Arabidopsis thaliana: one gene and its partner. The protein of the gene in region 2 interacts with the protein of the main gene of each other region in a pairwise test. Each region holds a gene or a part of one and is shown on either strand. Other genes may lie near its edges.

The links.
Region 1: the proteins of ENA (region 2) and AT3G48550 interact in a two-hybrid assay, tested with the Arabidopsis thaliana proteins (one large-scale study listed by BioGRID).

The regions. Positions count from the first base shown.
Region 1 is NC_003074.8:17,991,906-17,995,338, reverse strand, and holds AT3G48550 (SHOOT GRAVITROPISM-like protein), read right to left. Parts: upstream 1,521-3,433; 5' UTR 1,292-1,520; coding exon 945-1,291; intron 874-944; coding exon 744-873; 3' UTR 560-743; downstream 1-559. Other genes in the region: AT3G48540 (Cytidine/deoxycytidylate deaminase family protein), read left to right, coding at 3,324-3,433.
Region 2 is NC_003074.8:6,037,406-6,041,156, forward strand, and holds ENA (DnaJ/Hsp40 cysteine-rich domain superfamily protein), read left to right. Parts: upstream 1-2,002; 5' UTR 2,003-2,234; coding exon 2,235-2,369; intron 2,370-2,446; coding exon 2,447-2,543; intron 2,544-2,662; coding exon 2,663-2,717; coding exon of another isoform or gene 2,718-2,727; exon of another isoform or gene 2,728-2,798; coding exon 2,799-2,919; 3' UTR 2,920-3,228; downstream 3,229-3,751. Other genes in the region: AGD15 (ARF-GAP domain 15), read left to right, coding at 312-362, 454-512, 603-693, 776-830, 919-1,009, 1,105-1,306, 1,456-1,647; AT3G17670 (tetratricopeptide repeat (TPR)-containing protein), read left to right, coding at 3,452-3,751.

The DNA.
Region 1 (3,433 bases), about 12 Mb from region 2:
CTATTTAAAGCGACCTAAGAGATTAAAGTAGATGAAATAAGCATGTTAATGCAATAATTATACCCATCATCTCCATGCATATGTCTTTACGTGTGTTTGATTATTTGTTTTCAGAATAATCATCAATTTTCATTGAACGAACGTTTTCAAAGATGATTACAACAAATCAAATGAATCACATATGGGTCAGCCAATTATATTCAAATCATGCAATCCGTCCATTCTCTTTTTTATTTTCCACGTTCCTCGATTGTGAATGTCACTCCATCTCTTGTTACTTTAACATCAAGCATTTAACTAACTAATCACTGTAATTACTAATTAGGTTTTGTTCTGTTGGTTAATAAATGTCATAGTTAGATTTTAATACTCCATATAGTATATAATAGCTGATCGTTGAGGAATTGACATAGCTAATGTTGACAACGTAACTAATGAATTTTATCCCTAATTCCCAAGTAATTCACTAAATGGTATTCATGATTTTTTTTTTTTTTTTTTTTGGTTGGCAAAGAAGAGGAAGTAAAGTAGCTGGAAACATAAATCATCTCTTATCTGAGCATATTGTTTTCCTTCGATTTCAAGAAAATAAAAAGGAAGGACTATATAATATTACCAAACTCGAAAATGAAAACAAATTAAATTTAACTACAAAATAAAATTTAAATTAAACCAACATTCTCTTTCTCTTCAAATATCCATTTATAATAACAATAATTAAGAGAAACAAATAAATACTTATGTTATGGCCTAAACCTTTGTCTGCAAGAGTGGCAAGTGATCTCCAAGCAAGCCGTATCGATCTTCGTCATTGATCTCTCCTTCAATCTCTCAGCTCTCTCCACTTCTTCCCTTGCCTTCTGCCACATCACCCTGGTTACAATTCAAAACCGTTAACCAAACCAAAACCAGAATTATTACTTGATCGAGCTAGCTTTAACTACCTTGCACGAGCAAACTCAGACTGAGCCATCTCCATCTCACGGCGAGTCAACTCTCTAACCCTCTCGGCGTAAGCCTTCTCTATAGCCGCAAGCCTTATCTGCTCCGCGGCTTGCCACTTCAACGCCTCCACACCACCGTTTGGAAGCTCCTCCGCTGTTGAGATCGAGCTGAGGCTGATGGAGAGTTTGAGGTCAAGATCGTGGTGGATCATGGAGGAGGAACGGTGGTGATTGTTGTGATGGTCGGTTGTTATAACTGTTGGTCGGTGTTTCCTTACCGGAGATTCGGTAGACGGTGGAGAAGGTAAAAGCTGAAGCTCTTTGTGATGATCTTGTTGTTCAGCCATTTTTGTATTCTTGTTTGTTTTTTTTGGCTAAAAGGCTGCACTTCTCAATAAGTGTGGGGATGGCAATTACCAATCACTTTATATGTAAGCTGCTTCGTGTCTGTGCACATATACTATCTACTTGAAATTACACTTATAACCCCTTATTCGAATATGCATATCTTTTTGGGTTATTTGATCATTGGGTTTTTATATAATCCTCAAAGTTAACAAACGACCACCGTACCGCCATTATGTGAATTTGTTGTCAAGTGTGGTTCCATGATAAGACGAAATGATGTGATTGTACAACAATCAACTAAAGTTAAAAATAGGTTAGATATATAAGATTTTTTAAGTTTTGTCGAGTTACAAAATAAATAGTCACCAATAACCAAATTTTTAGAATGTTTTATAATGATGAACATGTTATTTGCGTTTATGTCGAAATAATATAAACATGTAAACGCAAACGTGATTAATGTTGTTTTTTACGTTAAAGCTACTATATATTATGACATAACTTGCAATTGCAAAATTTCATTGTTTTTTTTTTTTCCAAAACATAAGAGGAGCATACTTGTAAAGTGAAAATAATGGAGGGTAGGTTAGTAAAACGAAGATAGAAATAGGAAGAAAAAAAATAGTTAAGGTGTAGAGAAAATCTCCGTTGAAGAAAAGACAGAGAAGATGGGATATAAACGGATCACGTTATTGAAGCATGAGAGGCTTTTTAAAGAAACCCTTTTCACTTTTTCATCATCTATCTCATTTTATATGTTTTTGTAACTAATAACTTTGCGATTGTATATTTGTTAATTAACGTATCCTTTTAAAAAAATGAAAATGTGGATGTGGGTTGTGTAATAATTGGTGATGCACGTGGCTTAATGGATTCAAAAGCTAGCAACTAGCTCACTTACTATGTGCTTAGTCCGTATATATTAGTAATTTAATCAAATTCTTCTCATATAACAGTTTATATTTTATTTATATATGTGATTTAAATAGTTGAAAGATTATAACAGATTTATAGGATTGAGAATTCGGAAACTAGGGTTTGAGTCTTTCCGCTGCAATCTCAATTACATTAATTAGTATAGACGCTCTAAATGACAAAAAAAAACAAAATTCCACAGGTTTAATAGCTAATCTGAATTGTGTTGTGATCTACGATTGCCTGGTCGTTATGTTTTAAATACATTTTGTTATTTATAGATAAAAATGTACGTAATGCTTTCAATGTTTTTTTTTTAAAGTTATTAACTTGTTTCATGTGTTTCATAGTTTCATGTACGTTTCCAATTATTTGTTATTTTTCAAACTTTGTTCGTTTCCACTTTATGTTTTCTTAATCTATCCAGTTCATATTACATTACATTAGACAAAAGAAAACTAAATAGCGAAATAAAACTAAAACTTATATAGGTATACACAACCGTGCCTACCAATAAAAAAGTCAGAGACGGTATCTTAAAAGCGCAAAATAAGAATATAGAACTATAGTTATAAAAAAAAATTTTGAAAGGTAATGTCAATTTTTTCACAAGATCATTAACCAAAATTTCAAAATCAATCTTTTATAACCTTTTTGTGAATTGAAAAGATTGTCAAAACATCAACGATACAAAAAAGTTTAAATCCATAGTTAATAGAAATATAGAAGAGATGGTTGAGATATCAAATCTGGACCGGTATAGTTTTTTTTATCCAAAAAATATATTGGTAGCACTCAATACTAAAAAAAATAAAAAAAAATAACAAATAATAAAATAAATGATTCAATAACACATAATTTTTGAAAAAAATGAAATTAACCAAAATCTGTTAATTGCCATAATTTTCTGCTGAGAAGAGAAAGCACAATCAGTAAACCAATCTAGTTATTAACCGAAACCTAAACCAACAATCATATGAACCGAATGATAGACCTGCCTTAACCGGAATGGCGGGGATTTTCACTCTCTTATAGTTTCCCGCTACATTTAATAGTGAAGAGAGAAGAGCAAAGATTTTTCTGGATAAATCTGTTTTATCGATTTTGAAGCTCCCCATGAACTCTCGAGATCTTACACTCGTCTCTACATCTGCAATCTTCGGTGCTTTGATTTCAGCTCTAGCATTTCGCTTCTTCTCATCAAACCCTAAAAACCCCAAATCCCG
Region 2 (3,751 bases):
GGGATGAAAAAACGATTCTTTCAATTGGGTTATCGAAGGAATCTTCGTATGAGCATAGTGATCAAGTCGGGTTTTCGAGAGCTAGGGATTTGAATTTATTGCTTTGCTTTGACTCCATGTTGGATTAAAAATAGAGAGATGATGTGTCGCAGTGACAGATATAAAAGGGTACGAGAAACCGTCATTTCTTTTCTCTCCTCTCCTTCAAATCCGTTCTTCCTTGAAACCATTTTGGCTCTCTGTTTACAAACTTGGTTTGATTTTTCAATTGCCTCTGTTTCTCTCTCATTCTCTGATTCATCTTCATCAGAATGAACAGGAAGGCCTCTGTTTCCAAGGAGCTCAACGCCAAGCATTCAAAGGTCCCATCTTTTTTTCTCCTCCTTTTCGATTTTTCACCATTGGTTTTGCGTCTGGAAAGTTGAAAGGTTAGAGATTTTGTGTGGGTTATAGATATTGGAAGCACTTTTGAAGCATCCAGACAATCGAGAATGTGCAGATTGTAGATCAAAGTAAGCATCTTGATAACATTATCTCTTTCATGATCATGTAAGAAAAACGATTTAGGAGCATTGTGTTGTTTGGATCTATCTATTTTACAGGGCACCAAGATGGGCAAGTGTGAACCTTGGGATATTCATTTGTATGCAATGTTCTGGAATCCATCGTAGCCTTGGCGTCCACATCTCTCAGGTCCCTAAATAATCTCTCTTTTAATTGATTGTGTTGTAAATGGATCATACAAATTAGGGATACTGATGAATTTTGGACACAGGTAAGGTCTATAACTCTGGATACATGGCTTCCAGATCAGGTTGCTTTCATGAAATGTAAGCTCCTCTTTTGTATATAATGAACACATTCAGTAGTTGAATTTTGTATCAATCCCATAGCTTGATCATCTTATTCTCGGTCTAGCTACCGGTAATGCTAAGGGAAATGAGTATTGGGAATCAGAATTGCCTCAACATTTCGAGAGAAGTTCAAGCGACACGTTTATAAGAGCCAAGTATTGATTCTTTTCTATGTTCGCTTTTGCTTCCTCATCTGCTACAACACAACTTTAGCTTGAATCTTTTTTTCTTCTGTTCGTGTGTGTTTTAGATACAGTGAGAAGAGATGGGTTTCACCGGGAGCGATTCAACCGGCTCCTATAGTTAGCCAGCTAAGCTGCAAAGTTAGTCACTTGGTAGAGAGTGGATATAAACCTGAAACTCCAAAGAAAGCTAGAACTCTTTCACTTGACGAAGAGATCCTTCTTCATCATGTTCTTCAAGTAACACCTCCAGAAACGAGAACTCGTGCGGTATGACAACAAATCTATATCTTTTTGGGTTCTGGTATGATCACTAGATTGGAAATTCATTCAGTTTCCTTGTTTGTCCTGTGGCAAGAATTAACAAAGCTTTTGTAGAAGGATTTTGAATCATTTCCATAAACTGTTGTGCAATGCAGGGTTCGGTAGATATGAAGGAGAATGTATATGTTGTACCTCTACCAGAATTCAAGAAACCAAATCAAAAGAATGAGAATTTCTCCAGTGAAGTAAACCAGAATAGAAGAACCACCATAGCACCACCGTCGAGCTGGGCTACTTTCGACTGTAAGGCCATGATTCAGGCTTTTCTTTTTTTTATCTTCTGTTAGTTTTGAGGTTTTGATTCTAAATCTCTAATGTGAAACAGGAAGAGAAAAGACTCTATGAAGACGAAGAAGATGGAGGTTTTGGAAAAACAAGAATCATCATGTGGGCTTTAATTTTAGTCAAAAGGTTGGCAAAGATGGGATGATGAACTCAAAGTTGGTTCTGTTTTCTAATTCTTTATTCATTCATAATCCAATTTTGGTTGCTTGTAACAAAATCATTTTTAATTCAATGGAAGAGAGACATCTTTGAGTATTTGACAAAAGAGAAAGCAAATACAAGTCACCAATGTGATTATTTTTAATTGCTGGACAAGTAACATCAATTGATTGGTCCACCATACTCCATAACAACCGTAATGATTTCAATAATCACTTTTGAGTTTGTGTTTTATTTGGTTTACACTTTACATAGGAAACGAATAAAATTAAATCAGACCTAAACACACTAACTCGGTCCGGTTTGGTTAATTTTCTTACGGGTTTATTGAGAGATGGGCCTTAGGCCCGAGAGAGAACACAAACTGGAATGAGGAAGAGGAACAGAACAGTTGTGGTGTGTTACGAGTTACGACTGAAGAGTGACGGAGATGGCGGTGAACGCGTGTCTATCTCCGCCGGAGATGATGGCTGTCCGGCCAGGGGAAGGCGTTCCGAATTCAAAATCTACGCAGGGAAAAACTAGGCTCTATCTCACCAAACCTTCATGGATAGTCAGAACTCAGGTCTGAAACCAAAAACCCCCAATTTCTATCTCTAGACTCTTGATATCATTAATAAGAATGAATTCAATGGTTAACAGTCTGGAGCTAAGACGTGTATGAAGTCGAAGGCGAAAGGACGATGCGTAATCTGCCATGGAAGTGGAAGAGTCGATTGTTTCAATTGTTGTGGGAAAGGTAAAGATAAATAACTTCTCTCTCTGGTTCTCAACTTTAAATGTCTCTTATGATTGATTTCTTCGTATTAACTACTTCAGAGAATTGAATTCTTGCTTTTTTGTGATATATGATTGAAGGGAGGACTAATTGTGTGGATGTGGAAATGCTTCCAAGAGGAGAATGGCCTAAATGGTATTCTTGAGGCTTTTATATCTGTTATTTGATTCAAGAACTAAAGGAGTTCAAAATTTTTTTTGGTTGTTTTGGTCACAGGTGCAAGAGTTGTGGAGGGAGTGGATTAAGTGACTGTTCTCGCTGTCTTGGCACCGGAGAGTACAGATACATCATGGGTTTCCGCTTCTTAAACCAAAACGATGATGCCGATCCACAATAATGATTTGGAGAAACTCTTAACGATCATGTCCTTGCCAGTTTTTGTATATGTCCAATGAGGAGGCTTAAGACTTGTTTAGTAATGTTGTATATGGTTGCTCCTGACTTGTTAATATTGTTTGTAATCTTCAAGGATGTTGTTGCAAGTAAAGAGAAATCACCAGTCTACAAGTTCTTTAGGAAGATAAATGAAACGTAGCCACCGTTAGTTTTATATTCTTAAGCTTACATTGCAAAATTGTTGTATCTTGGCTTTGTACTTACTAATGGTATATTTGGATTCTTTAGTATAATGGGAAGGTTCTGAGTCAAAATTTTAGTTATGAGCTGTCTAATTTGATTAAGAATTAGTCTAGTGATGTTTTATCTTCGGCTTTGAGTGTGAAACGAAGCAAAATGGGAGCTGATTAGAGTGTACAATTGTGATATCCGGTTTAGTCAAACCGGATTTAATACATTTTAATTTGATTATCTCGGTTTATTTAGTCAGGCGCGCATCTTTCTTCTTCTTGTGGTTCGATATTCTTATCGTTATGTCTTCCGTCGCTTTGCCGGCGATGAGCTGCCGGAGCTCAGGTGAACAAGTGAAGGAGATTCGCGTTTGTACGAATCGCACCTGCCGAAGACAAGGCTCCTTCCAGATTCTCGAGACTTTAACAGCTCTCGCACCTCCCGAACTCCGAGTCACTCACTGCGCTTGCCTCGGCCGATGCGGCTCCGGTCCAAACCTCGTGGCTCTCCCTCAAGGTCTCATCCTACGTCACTGCGCCACGCCTTCTCGAGCTGCTGAAATTTTGTTCAGCCTATGTGGTGACGGTCGTGAAGCTTCTTCA